3 linked regions of the Lepisosteus oculatus genome follow. The protein of the gene in region 1 interacts with the protein of each later gene in a pairwise test. Links are inferred from orthologs where the notes say so. Each region holds a gene or a part of one and is shown on either strand. Other genes may lie near its edges.

The links. The genes of interacting proteins can lie anywhere in the genome.
Region 2: the proteins of kifc3 (region 1) and cerebellar degeneration-related protein 2 interact in binary tests that used the Homo sapiens proteins (3 or more experiments, as listed by UniProt). The two-hybrid records come from large-scale screens. The link is inferred for Lepisosteus oculatus from reciprocal best matches to the Homo sapiens genes KIFC3 and CDR2.
Region 3: the proteins of kifc3 (region 1) and CAP-Gly domain-containing linker protein 4 interact in binary tests that used the Homo sapiens proteins (3 or more experiments, as listed by UniProt). The two-hybrid records come from large-scale screens. The link is inferred for Lepisosteus oculatus from reciprocal best matches to the Homo sapiens genes KIFC3 and CLIP4.

What each region holds. Positions count from the first base shown.
Region 1 is NC_090715.1:4,618,870-4,625,931, forward strand, and holds the start of kifc3 (kinesin-like protein KIFC3), read right to left. Parts: upstream 3,008-7,062; 5' UTR 1,036-3,007; coding exon 805-1,035; intron 1-804. UniProt on the Homo sapiens protein: Minus-end microtubule-dependent motor protein. Involved in apically targeted transport. Required for zonula adherens maintenance.
Region 2 is NC_090714.1:16,649,087-16,655,935, reverse strand, and holds the start of cerebellar degeneration-related protein 2, read left to right. Parts: upstream 1-3,846; 5' UTR 3,847-4,097; coding exon 4,098-4,179; intron 4,180-6,849. Other genes in the region: mfsd13al (transmembrane protein 180-like), read right to left, coding at 1-659, 2,476-2,712.
Region 3 is NC_090697.1:29,363,873-29,371,291, forward strand, and holds the start of CAP-Gly domain-containing linker protein 4, read right to left. Parts: upstream 3,004-7,419; 5' UTR 2,730-3,003; coding exon 2,681-2,729; intron 120-2,680; coding exon 1-119.

The sequences.
Region 1 (7,062 bases):
AGTATTTGAGAATTTTGCCTATTGCGAGACTGCCCCTTAGCCCACAGTCAACCCCCAACTTTCCCTTGGTGAATTTACAAGCTGTATTTGCATATCAGCATCTGAAAAGGATTCGAGCTCAATTTAGCTGGCAAAGGCTGAAACAAACCCTAAACAAATCCTCAAAGGCAAAAAAAGCTCATGCACTTGCAGATGATTGCAAACAGTAGAGCTGCAGACTCCCACTCTGACAGCACCAGCACTAACGTTTAAGAATTATGCACGGAGATTCTTGCTTGCTCCTGGACACTACACCCAGATATGTCAGGGTGTGAAGTTACTGTCTGCAATTCAGATTTTACACTCATTAAGTTAATTTTCCTTCAAGGGTAGAATAAACAGGCCTCCTGTACTTTTTAAAAAACAAGGGTTTTGTTTTTTAGCCCATTCTACAGTACCTGCCCAGAAACAAAACAACAACAACATTTAATTAAAAAATGACTTCGCTTGCAAATAATCCCTTAAATGAATCCTGCATAAAACAGATGGAGCACTGTGCACCTTTCATTTCTTTCTCCATAAATAGGAATTTCCGTGTCGAGTAGTTTATTTACTTAGACGCTGAAACAAATGAGTATACAAAAACAATCTACAAGTAATTTGTGACGCTATAAAACATGTTTGACCAATAAAGGGAAATGCACAAAAACAGAGAGATGGAAGAGGTAACCAATACCCCCCAAAAGACAGAGAAAGGAAAATGAATATTGTACAGTCTGCACAGTAGCCAGGTTATTCTGTGCTGTAAGCAAGATGGATTCTCACCTGTGCCCAGGTACTGTAGCAGCAGCCAGGCATGTTGCTCAAAGTGGTTCTGTTACTCTTGGTGCACAGGCTCTGGGCTTCATATCCTGGGCTGTGGTTGTCCGTGCAGCAGTCTCTGGGCGAGTTTCTCTCCCTGTCGGAATGCTTCACTTTCTCCACTTCTGAGCCTCTTTTTCGCCCCTTGAACAGGCTGTGCAAAGACAGCACCACCAGAGTGCACAGGACATACATTGCACCCCTAAAAAGAGACAGGGCAGATTGCCTGCTCCGATATCACAGTTACTGGATACTACTGGGGAGGGAAGCAGGCAGAAAGCTCTTAGGTCACCAAATCCGAAAGGCAAGGCTGTTGTCAGGACGGTGTCCGCAGTGAAAGGGTGCAGGTCCCAACGCAGCAGCCAAGAAAACCCAGAACTGGTCTGGAGCTCAGTCCAGAGTTTTGCTCCCTATACCCAGTATCTTACATGAGAGGAGTTCACAGCTTCAGAAATTCTTCCAGGCTGATCAATCCAAATGCTTTTTTCTTTTTCAAAGGCTCACAATAATTTAAGAGTGTCTTCAAGCAAACTGTTTCTTCCAGATTTTGAGATCAACAGTCATCGTCTCCGATATATCTGTGATCTTCGGTCTCTGAACTATGGAAAATTATACCCTCCTCCTGATTTGCATGTTTTACTCAAAGGCTAATCAGTAAGCTCTCCAACCCCAGCAGTATAAACAAATTAGCAGGAAGTAATCTAATGAAAGTGTTTTCAACAAATGCACCCATATCACACCCATGGGCGATACTGTGTTTGCCAAGATACAATTCTTCATTTGGGAATTTGCTTACAGTGAAGTCCAGAGATTGAATCTGAAGTCTTCCGAGCGTGGTCCCAATAAAGAACATGCAGGTACCAATGACTTTCCTCGCAAAAATCTGTCCAGTCAACCAGTTCGGAGGTGTTTAGCCCAGTGAACGATGTTCACGTTTCAAGAAGTCATGGAAGCAGAAGACAGATTTTCTTAAGCACCACCATGTTGATTTTTACCATCACAGACTTCTTGGTCTCATTTCTTCACCATGGATCCACCAAATACAATAAGGATCTGGCTGCACAGCCAGCGCAAGTTACCCAACAAGTCCCTGTGGATTCACTCACAGCTCTGAGATTCAGCACCAGCAGGAAACCAAGAAGGTCCAGAAGGGAGTTTGGACGGCTCCCCGTGTTCCTGTTACCCAAGTGTGTTGTAGGGCCACTGATACAGGATGGCGACAGCTTGCATTCCCAAGAAGGAGAAGTATTTTTATGGTGAAAGAATTGGGACCCTTCCTAGGTGTAAAGCATTAAGCAAATTGCAAGAAATGATATATTCAGCAAAACACTCCAGATTCAAACAGGAGCTCCAATCCTGTCTCCTAATGGCCCTGTGTTTCCACTGATCCAGTGTTCAACAGCTGCCAGCATCGATCCAGCCCTGGAGAAAAGCCATGAGTCTGTCCAGAGTCCCGACTCCCTGGGCGCCACTCCTAAGCCCATATCGCTTCAGCTTGTTAAGGTCAGGGCACTCGTAACTCCAGGCTTTCGATTCAACACGTAAACACAATCATAAAGAAGGTATTCCACTGATAAGATGTGTGCACGGCAACACACACCCAGAAGAAAAAAATGTTTCTCAGATTGAACCTGCTGCTGGTATCACCATAATCACTGATGTCTGAGGCAGAAATAACACACCTGAAGTCGTGTTATTTCCAGCTGCGATGGCTCATGAAAAAAGGCAAGATAAACGTCAAGAAAAAATGTGCTCGAAAAAATGTGCTCTTTGAAAACTTGAAAAAAAATATTCCCCACGCTTTTGTACCTCCCTGTTGTTTTTTCTCGGTATGTTATTCAGCTGATAAGTTTTTTTGTTTTGCACCCTGTTGCCTTTTCTAAACCGGCCCGGGAAATGTTTCTCCGACCGGTTTGTCCACTTGTCCTGCCTCACAAAATACTTGAAAATGTTGTGACGACAGAGAGCCGTTTCTTTGCTCACTTGCTCATCAGAAAGCCTCAGTTCATTCTCTATCTGCTGCCCGAGGGTGTCACCAAGGCAAATATCATCTCACTCTGCATTCGAATCCCCAACAGTCCTTCCCTCTAAGTCCTTTGTCCATCTGCTGCAGGGATAAGCGCAGGCATGGGGCAGTGGACACTGATGTCACATTTATTTGCATTTGCAAAAAAATCTGCTGTGGCTTCCCTTGTCTCAAATTCAGACATTGAAGACAGGGATCAGGCTTCTGATTGGTTGCCGCCTGGAGAATGACCTCATTCATTGTGTGAGCAGACATTGTGTGTGTGACCCTGCATGGGAAACTTACACTCTTGTGCTTTGAGAACTGTAGTGGCTGTTAATTTAGCACAAAAATATTTTGTTACAGTTTAGACATTTATGGGTCTTTCCAGGATTTGCATAAAAACGGTTATATCTCCCGTTAAACTGTAAAATGGAATTACAGCAACTGAAAATGTCTAACTAAAAGTTAGTCAACAACAGAACATTTGACTTTTTCTTTAATTTTGTAACATGTCTAGGGTACTAATGGTTATGTCTCAGCCACAGAAATGGATAGAGGGTGCAAATGGCCTTACATTTTCAGACCAGAACGCTATTGATAACTATCTTTGCTCATGACCCAGCTAACTTTTTAACATACTATCCTGCAGTTTAGAGTACAGCAGGGTAGATTTGAGGACCAAGGAAATGTAAAATGTATATTAATATAAAAAGGTCTGAGAAGATAAACAAAGGTTTGTGAACCAAACAAGATTTCCAAGTGGATTTTCAAGTCTGAACCATCAGCTGCCCATGTTCAAATCAATCAAAATCCATGCAGTAAAATCGATTTTCCACTACCCACATAAATCCTCCGTAACGAGTTCAGACACATCCTGGACGGGATGTACTAAGAAGATGAAAGCACTGTAGCTAAGCAGCTTACCTGCTACACAATGGACTCTGTAACAATCTTACAAGCTGCAAGAGGATTTTTGTAGCTTTCTCTAAAAGCTGCCCCCTGCTGTAACGCCTGGTAACTGCACTTTGAAAGCACACAAGAGGCTGAACTAAATGCCACAGATACAAATGTGACTCAATAAAGTAGACTCTCTTACATTCAGGCAGCAGAAGTGCATGACCTTCCCAGTGTAACCTTCCCAGCGGGTAAAGGTTCCAATTCTCTGTCGATGTGCTAAACTACCTCTATTCAACTGCAGAAAAGCTTGCTACGAGAAAATAAGCAAAGGTTTGTGAATCTAACAAGATTTCCATGTGGAAGCGTGTCTCCCTGGCAACCTGAGCCACTTCTTTATATTTACATACCAGCAAGAGGAGCAGATTTTGAAATCACTGCTTTCTTAATCTCTTCCCAAACCCTCCCCTTGCCTCACACACACCCTTCTCTTCCACAGAAGAGCTATTCTGGGCACATTTTGGCATTTAATTGAAGGAAGAAAAAGAAGAAAAATAAACAAATCACAGGCCGTAATTACATCTCCACTCGACGGCGGATTTAAAGTGCTACAGCACAGACCACATCACAGGGCGGACTGGAAGCCCAAATCACAGGGGCTTGTGAACGCTGGAGACCAGGGCTCATCGCTGGGCGCACAGGCACACAGGCGCTGACTCGCATGTGGCACAGGCCCAGGAGAGAAGACCACGGTTTGTCTTAAAGGGGTGCGGGAGACTCAACCGCTTGCTGCCACTGCAGACCTGACTGCACTTCTCCAGGGCTCCCAACTTCATGAGGGAGGATTCTGTAAGAGCAGGTCTGATCTTGTAAGATACGGCCACACACTAATTGAGAGCAGAAGACAGTGTAAACTACTGCTTTAAATCCTCAAGCATGCCTCTGCTCTTCCCTTCAGGGGAGCTTTATAATTAACAGCTTTCTATTATAGAAACGGAGAACTAGGGAAAATGATGCTTATGTCACACACACTCACACAGACAATATTACGTAATTGCAGACATAAAGCCGTAGCTTAGCTAATTACAACACTTCACAGGAAACCCACAGCTATGACTTAATGTACCAAATAGGCAATTCGTGTTGTTTTCATTACACTTATTTTTTTATAGTTTGACACAGCAAAGCAGAAATGGAAAACAGGCTCAAATGAACTACAAAATGCCACTAACGGCAGTAACTGTTATATTTCAAAGCCTCTTTTGTTTTATAATGTACTGTATGCCGCCCAATTTAAGTATGATCCGCTCGCTTTGTGAATTGCAGCTGTACAACAGGCTGTTGTGCATACAAGAGCAGCAGATCATTCACAAAAATGGATTTTACTTTGTTTCAAGGTTTGTGTTTTTATTAATATTATATCGTAGCAACAAATGCAGTTGGAGCAAGCCGTCTGAGGAATGTAATGTTGTATTGTATTTACAGGGTTGCTAGGAAGTCAGAATAGTAGCAACATCGCCACCTGCTGGTTATCTCCGAGTGCGACGCGACCTCAATAACGTTCTATTTTTAGTCAACGGACCTCACCACCGGCCTCAATTATCCAAGACTTTTCAAAGAGCGACGCGGTTTATAGCAATTTAGAAGGTCATACTGAACTATTGGTGATTTGGACTCTGAGGGGTTTTCTGTAGCCATAACATCCTGCAAAAATAACCTTGCCTGACGCCACCATGAAATATCCTTGATTAATGGCTGGAGAAAATGATGCATAAAAACCAACTATGCAGACTGGCTTAACCTTCCCTGCATCTGCAAACATAATGAGCACAGCACAGCACAGACTGCTGCTTACAAAAACAACCGTATCAGTCAGACTACTATAATGAAGGTAATCGCAAAAACACATTCGTTGAGTACAAATAATGGACTGTTATTAACTCTAGTGTAAAGGGCACTTCAGGGAAATGAGCAACGAACTGCACAGCCATAGAGCTGATACTTAAACTTTGTAAATGCAAACAAGCTGAATGCCAGATGCTTCAAAAACCATCCAAAGGAAGCATCATAAAACTGAAATTGTGTCTTGACGTTAAGATGTGCCTTATTTCCCGTTCTCCGCAGCACGTTGCGGCAAATCGCAGGAAAAGGCCGTTTGTGTGGCTCTTCTTTTCTTAAATACTTCCTCCGGCTAGAGAGTGGGAGGAACACGACCCTCGCACTGCAGGACTGCCGAATGAGCAGCGGAGATCACGTGGAGAGCTCGAGTCCGAACGCCTCGCAGTCACATGGTTCAGCAAGTCAATAGCCGGGATCAAACAGGTCGCTTTGCTTTCTTCCTCACCCTCCCATTCACAAGCACCGACTCTGACAGCATGGGGCGGAGCGCGGGCGGGAACGAGCTCTTCCACCGCTTTAAGAAAATAAGGAATGACTTTGCTGTCCTTTGAGTAACAGATCGAGAAAGAACCACAAAGGACACTTTCCTTGCATTTCTGTGCTGAACGGGAGGCACTTCATTCACTAATGATTCATAAGAAATCATGAAAAAATGGCTGTTTTTGATGTCACTCCTTTTGAGTTTAACCAGTATTTCCATACATTCTTGGCCATTTGGGGAAATAATTAGGTCTCAAAATAAATTAACTTATTTTTACACACATCATGGTTTAGACCCTTATTTACATCTCACGAAGCCTCTGTGCTGTGCCCATTGATGGAGACAGCAGACATTTGAATACAGGGTGTCAGGTCAATCTTCCACATGAATTCTCTATATTGCCTGAATAGTGCATGTATTGTTCAGGTCATTTTTTTGCAGACGAGAATGAGGACACTCAACTTTTTTTTTAAGTTTTGACATTTGCTTATTAGCCCAGACTACAATGCTGAAAACATATTTTGAAAACTATCACCTCCAAACTGCCAGAACATGACTACGTCACACTGTGCACCTGCCCTCACTCCACACTTAGATTGTCACCTCGATTCCTGCCAGTTAAGCTGATCTGACACGCCTGGTCCTCGTTAAATATCTCCCAGTGCTAAGCTTTGTTGAGAGCCATGAGACACTGAAGGCTACAACATCACTTGCACTAATGGCTTCCACAGCGAGCGACTTCATTAACTCTACAGATTTCAAGTGCCGCGACGCAGTTGATGAGATTGTGTTTCTCAAGTCATGGGGCAGTCCACAGACTCCTTTGATCAACTTCTGCTGTGCTTTCAACCCCTTTCTCATCATTTCTTATGATGAAGCTCATGATTTCCCACCAGCTTGTCCACTCAATGATTCAAAAAGTGACAAACGGCTCACAGCT
Region 2 (6,849 bases), on another chromosome or scaffold:
AGGTGCTCTGCAAAGATCATGGCGAAGTTGTTGCAGAACGCCACCATGAAGACCTGGAAGAAGTTCATGGTCACGAAGAGCTGGAAGTCCCTCTGGTTCAGGATCTGCCAGGTCAGGGAGCAGACCGAGGCCAGGGACAGGGCGGCGCCCCCCGGAGGCTGCTCCTCCGCTTGGCCCCCCCGCCCCGCGTAGCGGCTCTCGCTGTGGAGGCCCGTGTAGAGCATGCAGCCGCACGCCAGCGCCGCGGCTGCGACGGTGAAGGCCTGGAACGCAGGGAAGTTATCCATGTTCCCAGACATCAGCCCACAGAACAGCACGCTGGAGGAGCCCAGCAGGGACGCCACCTGGTTGTACTTGATGAGCTTCAGCCTGCTCTCGTGCTGGACAGATATTTCGGCAAAGAGGGCGCACTGGGCCAGGAGCACGAAGGTCAGCATGCCGTCAAAGGCACACAGCGCCACGATCAGGTGCACACCGCTCAGCCAGTCCCCCGCCGCGTAGGGGCGCCACGGGAACCAGGCCAGCAGGAAGGCCAGGGCGTAGAAGGGCGCCCCATACAGGACGGCCAGCCGGCGGCGGGAGCAGCAGGGCATCCCGGAGTTGTCCTGGACGTAACCGAACAGGGGGTCGTTCACGGCGTTCCAGACCATGTAGATCACCTGCAGCAGAGCGCACGGGACGAGGAAGGGACACTTCAAGCTGCGCGCAGGAGGAGAGTCAGTCACTACATTACTCACACTCAGACCAACGAGATGGGCCAGACCATCCCCTCTCAGTTCCCTCGCCCTCTTCAGAAAACACAGCAGAATCCACAATAACTATGAGCCTTCATCTAGTGATAATAATAACAATAAACTTTATACTGTATAGCACCTTTAAAAGTGGCTTCTCAATGTGCAGAATTACACAACTGCACTAAGGGTTTGGAATACAGCAGGGAAGCAAAGGGGCAGACAGAGAGCCAGTTCAATAAAAGCCCTTCTGAAGAAGGCTTTGAGTCTTGATCTGAGTGTTCAGGGAAGGTGACTCTCGGATGTCCTTTGGGACAGATTTCCAGAGCTTTGGGATGCAGCAGGAGAAGGCCCTGTCACCCAAAGAGGGTAGATGGGCTGATGGGACGAACAGCAGACCGGAATTAGACAGTATGAGCTGTGATGTGATTTTTATTAAGAAATGTTACGCTGGGGAAAGGTGGTACACAGGCGGCTAAATCCTGCAGCTCTTACTCGAATGGGGTGGGTCTTCATCATGCGCGTTTGGAGACGCGCACTGAGAAAAAAGAGCGGACTGTTCTGGAACAGGAGACTGGGCAGACTGGCACGCCGTGCTCTTTATTTTCTCAAAAGCGCACTCTGTTTCCTGAGGCAGAGGAACAAGTTTAAGTTCTGCCCTGGCTTGTTAATTAACCTAAAGGTGCCTTGTGTTCCTTCTCTGCTGCCCTGGATACAGCACACAATGAAATCCTCTCAGCACTCACTGAAAAAGCGCAGGAGCTATTTTAAGGACGCCAACAGCTAAGGACCTACATAGCACAACACTGAACTAACCTAATCACCTTTGATGTCATGTTTCTAATCCATGGGAGGCCGATTCTCTGCTGTCGTGAGGCACAAAACACCCACCATGCCAGTAAGACTCATGGGGACGAGTCTCAGGAGGAGGAGAGTTACATGAATAAGGGTATCTGTAGCATCTCGCACTTCCTCAGTGGGGAGAGTACGGACAGACCTCTGTGTCTAGGGAATACACAAACCTGACACCACAGGGATCTGATCAGCTGCTCCCGAAGGCCACAAGCAGGATGTTCAGAGAGACACAGACAAACAGACAAACAATCAGAAGGAATGCTAAAGGAGGAAACAGCCCAGGAAGACATAAGGAGTTGCATGAATTCATAACTTTCAATCTCTGTGTTCTCTCTTTCCTTGTTCAGAACCCCCAGGCACAAATTCCCATGGTATAATTAACCTATAGGTTCAGACTGTTCAACTACAGAGTGTTTTTTTTTAAAACCAAAACTTCCATATTATACTACTATAAACATATATAGTTCCATTTTTCCAAATCCTGTTTAGTTGTAGTAGTTTTTTCCTAAACCCTTTAGTTGTAGTAAACGGAGATGGTCACAGAGATGTTTCATCTCCTTCAAGCAGGTGCCTCGTCGCTCGGACTGGCAGGGCATTTACCTTCCACCCCTTATGTCCTGCAGGGACTTGAAGATCCCGCCAGCAGAAAACATCTATAAACTCTGAATCGGGGCTTTGAAGAGCAGGGGCAGTGACCTCACACTGCAGACTCAGAGTTCATCTCCCCACCAGCCAGGTGACAATGCTAGCCTACAGTACAGCATATGTGAGTACTGATTTTTTCATGCAAGAAGACAACTCGAGGTCAGCGAGGGCTAAAGGGCTACAGCACGCTACCCTGCTCTGGGGGTGCGACTTGCGTGGAAAAGCCCCGTGGGTCAGCACTCGCCTGCGCCTGGTGAAACGCCGACTCCGAGATCTGGAACTTGTCCAGGAACAGCTTGACGTAGTAGAAGCTGAAGATGCTGTTCATCATGCCGGCGCCCAGCGTGGTCATGGAGTAGGCCAGCGCGCCCGGGTGGACCCCGAGTCTCGCCAGGAGCCGCATACCGGCCGCCCTTCCGCCCCCGCGAGAGCCCTGAGCGGGGTTCCCCGGAGCGGCGCGCGCCCTGGCGCGGGTGCTCATCCACGCGTGACGCCTTCCCGCACGCCGGACCGTGAGCTATCGAGGGCTAGCGCGGCTAATAACAGACAAACAATGAATTAATACGGGGGTATTTAAGTGCGATCTCATAATACAGCTAACGAAACAGGGAAAGAGTGATAGGGTTTTAGTTAAGCACAACCAGTCATTAAGTTCAAGGAACAGGATTCCCGAAACAAGTCAGGCTGGTTTGTGGGCATTGCAGGAATTGTCAGTTTTGCCATTAAAGCCAGGCTGACAACACAACATGCTGTGCCCCAGAAGCTGTGAAATGAGCTGTATAAAACTGAAAGATCCGGCACTCCTACTCTTAAGAATATACTATCATGCACAATATAAAAACCCCATTGCATTCACCTCATTGAGAGGTGCGAATCACGGTAAACACCACAGTAAATTATTGTCACTGTACTCCCTCGGCTACATATAAACAGATTTTCCCTGGGCTGTGGTTTGTCAGTGTATTTTTCTCTAACATATATAACAAATATATATTTCTCTAACATAAACGAGGTTTAAAAGCATTTTACAAACCAACAAACACTAGCAGTAAACAGTAACTGGCACTTTGAAACCCCGCCCCTCTTGTCAATCGATTCCTTTGATACATTTCTGCGTTTTTATGACAAATATTTAAGAAAAAAACCACAATTTCTGAAACCGAGCTTCCTTTGCGTCGACGGTTATAACTCATTAGTTGTGAAAAGACACAAAACAACTACAACGGAAGTTCTTCACAAAAAGACTTTCAAACCACTGCTATTGTTTTCAGAAAAAAAACATGCAGTTTCATGGGTCGTAAAGTCTAAGGTTCTAGCAATGGCGACTCCTGCAGTGGCTCTCTTGCGCACACTCCTATTTTCTCCTCTTTGATCAAAGGTTAATTAAAAATGAATGAGTTAAAACTGAACCTACGATTTCTCGATATCCTCGCAGCCAGCTCAGCTGTGTGCGCGCGCGGAGCCCGCGTATCGCGGAAGTGGGCGGGGCACCCCCCACCACCTGAGACCCTCCCCCTGCCTGCGGTGATTGGACGCTGCCCGGCGTTCCGGACCCGCCTCCCCGGCGTTTCAATGCGCCCCCTCCAAGCGATCAAGTGACGTCGGCTCCCATTGACACGCCCGCTCCTGACGTCGCCGCGGCGCAGGGGTTGGGTGCCACGTTGCTGCAGCCCGTGCGAGCCGCTGGAGGCTCCAGAGCGTCGCGAGCTCAGTCGCCGGCGAGCGTGCTGGTGTGTGTGTGTGTGTTGCACCCAGGAGCAGGAGCTGCCCGCTCTTCCGAGACAGAGGAAAAAAGGACGGGACAGAACTGCCCAGCGGAGGACAAGAGTCCCCAGAGTCGTCGTCCTCCCCACCCCGGCCGCGAACATGCTGACCGATATGATGGTGGAGGAAGAGTTCGAGATCAAGGAGGAGGAGCCGTGGTATGACCACCGGGACCTGGAGCACGGTAGGGCTGGGGCATTTAAACTCCTCTTCAGTGGTGCTGAAGAGAGCCGAGCCAGGTAGCGGCGCCGGGGCTCACCCATCGCCCGGGGCTGTGCGCTCAGCGGGCAGCGGGGGAGATGCGTCCCAGAAACAAGCCTCTAAGGGCGACGTGCGCGTTTCTGTTGTATGATTAGTGTCGCCTGTCAAAACGTTGGTTTACAACCGAGCCGCCCATTTGAAAGCGAGTCCCCATCCCCAAAAAATCTCATGCAGCGTCTACATTGTTTCGTAAAACTGTCCTCACGTTTTTGTTTTGCGTTCCCGGGGATGCATTTCCCTTGTAAGAAATGAACACTGATTTTTAGTTACAGATCGATGTAAAAGAAGATGTTAAAAGCAAGTATATATATACATGTCATGCTTGCTTTAACCTAACGCGGTTAAACCGCAGTGCTGCGGACGGTCGGGGGTTTAAAAACTCCACGACAGTGTTGTGTTTTAGCAGTAATGTTCTGCTATTTTTTTCCGACCCGGCGTGAAAATGTTCGTTGCCGGGGGTGTGATTTAGAATTGAATGTGAATTGCAGCATAATCTGGGAAACGCTGAGTCGCGTCGGCGGATCTCGCACAAAGCCCTTTTTGTCGATAAATTCGGCCACATTCGCAAGCCGCTCGTCTCCCGTGAGAAGTGGGAGCTGTTCGCCTGGTCACTTCTTCCCCGCAGCTACTGCAGCTCAGAGAGGAAGCAGCCTTATCTGACTCCTTTGTCATCGCGATTTCAACAGCAGCAAAGCCAAGCTAGACTGGACCGCCCAAGTGCTCGAAAAAGCAATGACATGCTCGGAAGGCATTAATAGGAGCATGCACTGAGCTGCCGAGAGCAGTGACTTCTTCCTTGCACGTTGTTTTTGTAAGGAAGGATGTCGTTGACTAGCCGCGAGAAATGGTCAGAGCTCTTCAAAATATAACCGAGTTTAAGGCTTTTCGATGAACAGAAATTCACCGCAAACACAAGTGTTGCATCGATGTGTCGCTCGGCTCCCAGTTGAGATAGCTGCGGTTTCCCTGTGAATTTGCGCTCGCATTTCCTGGATCAAGAAATTAACCCATTGGAAACAAGGCAGCTTTCTGACGCAGATGCAGCTTTTAGCATCCCCCGAGATAAGAATGTTTACGACCAATGTGCACCCATTTAATGAACTAATTTATAACCTCACGACATGCAAAAATAATTGAGGATATATTTCTCTGTGCTCCCCCTGACCTGCTGTGCGGTGAGGGTGCTGTGTGCTGCACCTCACGAGCAGCGAAGTGGGTCCCCTCCTGTATACAAAGCGCTCGGGGATCCTTTGAAGAGCACTATACAAGTGCAAGGAAATATTATAGATTCGTGACCTTCTCTTTACGTTACAGTTACTTGGGCAGCACAGTTCTGGGTTCTTGACATGTTCGGCTTCAAACGTCTCACTGTGTTTCCAAGTTATTTTGCTGGGAGGTAATGAAATCGGTGTTTTTGTGCTGTAGGCTGTAATCATTTGCAGTGTTGGGTTTTTTTAACGCAAGGAGAAGCTGCTCTCTCACCTTTTCCAGTTTAGGGTGTAAAACAGTATCGAACTGCAAGTCACTTCCAGACCACTAAAAACCTCAGCAACAATTCTGTTTGCCACTTCATCTCAATACATTCACTTTTGTCTGCCTGATACTAGTTCCGTCAGACTTCAGAAGACCTGGGCTAACCATTGTTGCTCACTTTATGCTTCCACATTCAATAAGTAGAAATGTGGCTTTGTCTCTAAAATGCCTCACAGATATTGTTTGCACCTCTGGGATTCTGACTCGAGAAGTAAATTGTAGAGGGTGAATTTCCGAGTGCGTTTCTCCTGAGTGTCAATGGTGGATGCTCAAGGCAAAGGCGATCAGACGGTTGAGTTTTCGAGCCTCAGGCAGACCCCTGTGTGTGAGCCAGCGCCACTTAAACGAGGCTCTTTGTGAAACGATGAGCTGGCAGAAAACGGATTGCAGGTCCTGAGCAATGCAAGATATTGCACCTCTACTTAGGAAGATGGGCAAACTAGACACAGGCCAGTTTCCCTCTCAACACTGTGTAACTGCAAAACCGCATTTCTTAATTGTCAGGTCTGGCTGGCTCTGTAGCGACCCTACTGGACTAACACCCCAAGATGATTTAACTACCAAAAATAAAAAAGTAAGACACAACCTAGAATTAAAGAGAGAGACCATAAATAGGCATTATAGACGTCAGCTACTACTTAGTTGTAAGACGGAGAGTACCCTGCTTTCACACTCTGGAGGTATATTTCTCCACACCTTATGAATACAACACCCAGTGGAAAAAGAACTTGAGGTCACTTAAATGGACAATGCAAACGAAGTGTGGACAGGTTCCCTAGCTATGACACTTATTTTAAATATAGATTTTTCTCCATTTGCAATGTAACAGGCGCTGTGTGCCGCCGGCACAGATAGTCTGCAGAAATCAGAATTGCAGGATTTGCTTCATGTATCTAATAACCTTTTGCACAGAGAAAGTGCAGGTTTATACTGCTGCAGGTCATGAATCCCAAAGCAGATGAGCAGTGAGAAGGGTTTTCAAGGCGTAAGGAAACGCAGGCAGGAAAGGACATGTTCACAAGGAAGGAATCTGCCATCTGTGATACGAGCCCCCAGAACC
Region 3 (7,419 bases), on another chromosome or scaffold:
CACCTGGTGAACAGTGGGCCTGTCTGTGCCAGGGGGCGAGCTGCTGAGTCTGTCCAGGGCAGAGTCTCCCTCCGACGACGGATCCCGGACATCTTCCCTTGTCATCTTCCTCACAGCACCTGAGAGGGACACGGGGACACTGAACCTCACTTGAGGACACTGTACCCACTGGGGGGGGACACTGGGACACGTTGGGGTATACACTATCCCACTGGGGACTCACTGAACCACACTGGGGGACACACAGACGCACTGGGACGCTCAGACAGGTTATATACCGTTACAGCTTTGGGTGACTTGAGAAGTCTCTCTCAGATTTTAGATAAGGTTTTAGACATTGGGAAGAGTAAACACATCTAACTCCAAAGGAGAGAGGATGTTTGCCGACGACTGGGGGTCCCTTGAGCAGAAACAATAGTAAAGGTGATCTTGGTATTCCTAGGCAAGTTGTGGATTAATGATCGCAAAGGAGCAGGGCAGAAAGACACAGTATCTGTTCACCTTAAGAGCACAGGAGGAGAGAGAAGAACAGGGGGAAGAGGAGAAACAAGGGGAGCAGAGAGAAGAGAGAGGAGCTGGAACTTGAGGCTTGCGCCAGGCGAGAGCCCCTACTTCATGATCATCCAAATCAAACCTGACTGGAGCGAAGTATTTGAACCCTGTTAGAACGTGCTATTCTGTATTTTTTAGGGAACTTGGGTTTCCTGGGTAAAAGATACCTCAGTTAGAAACATCTTTCCTGATAAGGGGGCATTTTATGGATATGGATATAGGCTCCTATTTATTTTGGGGCATCCACAGAGAGAGATAGGTTTAACCGCAGGTTGCTCTGTATTTAGTTAGAAGGCAGCTCATCTCTTGTGTGGCCTCGACAGGTGCTTAGTGCTTAGTAGCGGTCTGGGGTTTTCTGGGTGACCAGAATGTTTGGCCTCTGAAACGCCTTGTCTGTAAAGAATGTGTTTAAAGCAACATGTTCTGTTGTGTGTTGTGTCATTGTTTGAAAATATCTGTCCAGCCCCACCCGTAACAATAGAATGTAACTTGGCGTGTTGTATGTTTTGTGTCTCGTGTAGGTTATTGCAATAAATATTTGTTTAAACCAAGTGTCTCTGGATTATTACTCCTCGACAAAGCTGTGTCAGAGATGGAAGAATTCACGTGCCTCTGGTTGTACCGGCCGCTCGCATACAGAAATCACTTACAAGTCGGGGATTATAAATAATTATTTCACCGCTCGGTCAATTCCTGATTTTCACCAGTTTTGTAACAATATAAACATCGTAACGCGAGCGATGGTTTAAATCTTGGGGTGCAACGGGGCTCCTGACATCCATACTCCACACGCCAACAGCAGGGGGCGCACCTCCCATCTCAAAGCGAACACCAGCGTGGCTCGCAGTCACTGGACAACATCACCCCTAACTCAACACGGGACCCCTGACACAACACCCAGCCTTGAGCCCTGCGCTTCCCACAACTCCGAGGCAGTGCCAGCAGGCCAGGCCAGGCCAGGGCAGGGCAGCTCCCCTCTTGACATGAGAGCGACGTGATCATGACAGGGCTCCCGGGCAGCAGCAGCAGCAGTCCCGGCCCCCTCACTCAGGAGGGATGCGCCCTGTTCCTGCAGCACACGAAGCAGGACAAACTGGAGTCCTCGCAGAGCGACCGGCGGGACGCTCGGGGCCCCACGCCAGGAGGGGACGACCGGGGGGAACACAGTCCAGGTCATGCCAGTACAGCTCTCTGAGCCCGAGAGAAGGAATGAGAGAGCGAGGGAGAGGAAGTTTAACACAGGGCTCCGCTTCTCTATCGTTCCGGTTATGTCAATATTAGCTGACGGATCAGCAGACAGAGCTGTCTTGATCCCAGAGTCCCGCCGCTCCTCCTGTTCTTCCACAGTCTGCGAACAGCTGCGCGGTCACCTGGCCTGCGAGAGGGGAGGGTGCAGGAGAAGGACGAGAGAGAGGAGGAGGAGGGGGGGGGAGGACAGCCCCCATCGTAAAGCACTTCACTGTCAGAGACCAGCACAAAGATACACAAATCCTGCAGCACACACACTCCACAGACGCAGATATATTTTATTTTACTTCTATTTTTTGTCTTGTTCCATGTTAATTTTATTTTATTTGCTTTGGCAACACTGATTGTACCCATTGGTCATGCTAATAAAGCACCTTGAATTGAATTGAATATATTACAGTCACCGGCCCGCGACCGGCAGGGCAGGACGCTCAGGGCTTAAGACGGGCAGAGCGCCCCCAGAGTCGGGCCCCCCTCAGCGCAATAACCGCACAGTGCTTATTTACCTGGCGGGGCAAGGCCAGCCACCAGGCGAAACGGGGTTTTGTGAGCAGACCAATCTGGGCACCTCCCAGCACCCCGGATCCCCCAGAGCACTGTGGGGAACTTCGGGAGCCTCAGGAGGCCTTGGTCTCCGTCTGACACGAGCAGGGCTCGACACACACCTCTGCCAGGCTGCCCCGGGAGCAACACCACAGCGAGGCGCCGACAGCTATCCCACAATGACACGGGTAAAGCACCGCCCAGAGAAGAGAGCGTCCCGGCAGCAGAGAGCAGACAACAGCACCGGGCAGGACGAGCGGGTCAGAGAGAGGACAGGGGGAGGAGGCAGGGTGAGGGGCAACAGACACAGGCAGAGACAAGCGGGAGTCTCACTCACGGTCACCGTCGCCCGGGGAGAGTTCAGGAGTGGCCGCTGGGTCCCCCATGCCAAGTGACCAGAACAGGGAGAGGCGGAAAACGGGACAGCACCTCCTCTCTCTCCTGCTCCACTGTGATCCCCAGCCAGCGGGCTGGCTATTTACAGCTCAGGCAGCCTGCGCCGGCCGTCCCACTCCCTCGTCACATTCTCCTGTCAATCTACACGTCTGTGCACCACAGCACACGCACAGGCCTGGCCACAGACGCAGAGCACTGGCACTGAGCCCCTGAGGCGGGGGGCACGCTCGCTGCTCGTACAGGGGGGGCAGTGTCCGGACTGTAGTGTGCAAGACACTAGCTCCTGCCATCTCTAGCAAAAGGTCAGGCATGTGAGCCGAGCTAAAAATACACTCATTTTACAGTGCCCAGGACACAGGCACCACTCTCCACACACACTGGAGATCAATAGACAGGCGGCACAGTGCCCAGGACACAGGCACCACTCTCTACACACACTGGAGATCAATATACAGGCGGCACAGTGCCCAGGACACAGGCACCACTCTCTACACACACTGGAGATCAATATACAGGCGGCACAGTGCCCCGGACACAGGCACCACTCCTTACACACACAGGAGATCGATATACAGGAGGCACAGTGCCCAGGACACAGGCACCACTCCTTACACACACAGGAGATCGATATACAGGAGGCACAGTGCCCAGGACACAGGCACCACTCTCTACACACACAGGAGATCAATATACAGGCAGCACAGTGCCCAGGACACAGGCACCACTCCTTACACACACAGGAGATCGATATACAGGAGGCACAGTGCCCAGGACACAGGCACCACTCTCTACACACACACAGGAGATCAATATACAGGCGGCACAGTGCCCAGGACACAGGCACCACTCTCTACACACACTGGAGATCAATATACAGGCGGCACAGTGCCCAGGACACAGGCACCACTCCTTACACACACAGGAGATCAATAGACAGGCGGCACAGTGCCCAGGACACAGGCACCACTCTCTACACACACAGGAGATCAATAGACAGGCGGCACAGTGCCCAGGACACAGGCACCACTCTCTACACACACAGGAGATCAATAGACAGGCGGCACAGTGCCCAGGACACAGGCACCACTCTCTACACACACTGGAGATCAATAGACAGGCGGCACAGTGCCCAGGACACAGGCACCACTCTCTACACACACTGGAGATCAATATACAGGCGGCACAGTGCCCAGGACACAGGCACCACTCCTTACACACACAGGAGATCAATATACAGGCGGCACAGTGCCCAGGACACAGGCACCACTCCTTACACACACAGGAGATCAATATACAGGCGGCACAGTGCCCAGGACACAGGCACCACTCTCTACACACACTGGAGATCAATATACAGGAAGCACAGTGCCCAGGACACAGGCACCACTCCTTACACACACAGGAGATCAATATACAGGCGGCACAGTCCCCAGGACACAGGCACCACTCCTTACACACACAGGAGATCAATATACAGGCGGCACAGTCCCCAGGACACAGGCACCACTCCTTACACACACAGGAGATCAATATACAGGCAGCACAGTCCCCAGGACACAGGCACCACTCTCTACACACACTGGAGATCAATATACAGGCGGCACAGTGCCCAGGACACAGGCACCACTCTCTACACACACAGGAGATCAATAGACAGGCGGCACAGTGCCCAGGACACAGGCACCACTCTCTACACACACTGGAGATCAATAGACAGGCGGCACAGTGCCCAGGACACAGGCACCACTCTCTACACACACTGGAGATCAATATACAGGCGGCACAGTGCCCAGGACACAGGCACCACTCCTTACACACACAGGAGATCAATATACAGGCGGCACAGTGCCCAGGACACAGGCACCACTCCTTACACACACAGGAGATCAATATACAGGCGGCACAGTGCCCAGGACACAGGCACCACTCTCTACACACACTGGAGATCAATATACAGGAAGCACAGTGCCCAGGACACAGGCACCACTCCTTACACACACAGGAGATCAATATACAGGCGGCACAGTCCCCAGGACACAGGCACCACTCCTTACACACACAGGAGATCAATATACAGGCGGCACAGTCCCCAGGACACAGGCACCACTCCTTACACACACAGGAGATCAATATACAGGCAGCACAGTCCCCAGGACACAGGCACCACTCTCTACACACACTGGAGATCAATATACAGGCGGCACAGTGCCCAGGACACAGGCACCACTCTCTACACACACAGGAGATCAATATACAGGAGGCACAGTGCCCAGGACACAGGCACCACTCTCTACACACACAGGAGATCAATATACAGGAGGCACAGTGCCCAGGACACAGGCACCACTCTCTACACACACAGGAGATCAATATACAGGAGGCACAGTGCCCAGGACACAGGCTATAAGCAGGAACATCTCACCTGTGCTGTGACTGGTAGCTCAGGGCCGTACAGGACCTCTCCTTACAGGCCACAGTTTTCCATCATCTAAGCTCTTAACCACATAACATCATCGTTCTCCTTTACTACAGCACACGATCTTCAGAAAGCAAACAGGAAAATCCAAACCCACAATACACAACAACAAACAGATTCAAAACCAGTCAGACAGGATCGCTGTCACCAGCACAATGAACAATTACAATGAAAGCCCAGCCCTGGGGGCACTTCTGGAGGAACCCCAACACCTCCATACCCAGCCCGGACCGGACCGGACCCTCAACCCCTCCCCCTGCCTGACCCGAGACTGACAGAGACGAGCACATCCGCTCAAGTCCTCCTGTCCGCGACACAGGCCCCGTGCCAAACACATGGAGTAATTCAGGCAGAGCGCCAGAGTGAGCGACGTGCCCGGCTCCTGGTGAGAACGCCCCAGCCACACGCCTGTGCTCCACACCGGGGACAGCTTACTTTTCTTGTGAAGGTGCCTCAGCATCGCGTGACCCTGCGGCAGGAGAGCCCTTCACAGCCGCCTGATCTCCTCCACAGCCACACGCCAAGGATAAAACAGGACGCCCATCAGGACAGTCAGGTTTACTTTGTAACCAAATCGAGTGCTGTCTGCAACACTGGAACAGTCCAGCTGCGCAGAGCCTCGTGCAGGAGAATAGCAGCTCAGAGACACCCTGTCAGAGCAGTCCAGCTGCGCAGAGCCTCGTGCAGGAGAATAGCAGCTCAGAGACACTGTCAGAGCAGTCCAGCTGCGCAGAGCCTCGTGCAGGAGAACAGCAGCTCAGAGACACCCTGTCAGAGCAGTCCAGCTGCGCAGAGCCTCGTGCAGGAGAACGGCAGCTCAGAGAGAGACTGTCAGAGCAGGCCAGCTGCGCAGAGCCTCGTGCAGGAGAACAGCAGCTCAGAGACACACTGCCAGAGCAGTCCAGCTGCGCAGAGCCTCGTGCAGGAGAACAGCAGCTCAGAGACACACTGCCAGAGCAGTCCAGCTGCGCAGAGCCTCGTGCAGGAGAACAGCAGCTCAGAGAGACTGTCAGAGCAGTCCAGCTGCGCAGAGCCTCGTGCAGGAGAACAGCAGCTCAGCGACACACTGTCAGTGCAGTCCAGCTGCGCAGAACCTCGTGCAGGAGACCAGCAGCTCAGAGACACTGCCAGAGCAGTCGAGCTGCGCAGAGCCTCGTGCAGGAGAACAGCAGCTCAGAGACACACTGCCAGAGCAGTCCAGCTGCGCAGAGCCTCGTGCAGGAAAACAGCAGCTCAGAGAGACACTGCCAGAGCAGTCCAGCTGCGCAGAGCCTCGTGCAGGAGAACAGCAGCTCAGAGACACACTGTAAGAGCAGTCCAGCTGCGCAGAGCCTCGTGCAGGAGAACAGCAGCTCAGAGAGACTGTCAGAGCAGTCCAGCTGCGCAGAGCCTCGTGCAGGAAAACAGCAGCTCAGCGACACACTGTCAGTGCAGTCCAGCTGCGCAGAACCTCGTGCAGGAGACCAGCAGCTCAGAGACACTGCCAGAGCAGTCGAGCTGCGCAGAGCCTCGTGCAGGAGAACAGCAGCTCAGAGACACTGCCAGAGCAGTCGAGCTGCGCAGAGCCTCGTGCAGGAGAACAGCAGCTCAGAGACACTGCCTGCTCCCGAGAGAGAGACAGAGGGACACACATGCAAACAAGCAGCAACTCTGGGGACACAAAAATCCACACACACTTGGACACACCCAGGGACACAAATGCACTAGTACACACCCAGAACACACACGAATGTGACCGTCGGCACACATGGGCAGCCAAATAAAGAAACCCACACACACAGATCGACAAATAAACACAAGGACACAGACTCACAGACACAGAGCGACACACTAACTCAGGCATACACGCAGACACACAGGGAGAGTATCTCACAACAGCTGTGCCCTGCGAGAGATCGGGCCGGTCCAGTCACAAACCAATCACCCCCTCTGCACAAGACTGGCATTAAGATTATTTTCAATTATGCATTTTTATGATGCATTTCAACCTTTGTTAAATATATTTTGTTCTTCTTACGTGTACATGTATTTCCCGACAATTTCTCCTTAAAACTCATCAATTTAGTTAAACTATTTTTCTCCTTGATAGACAGGTAGGTTACGTCATTAGCTCAGCAGTACTGCACTCGCGCCTGTGTAATTAAAAAGCAATTTCGAGAGAGGAGTGCTTGAGACACTTTTAATAATCATTATATGCAGCTATA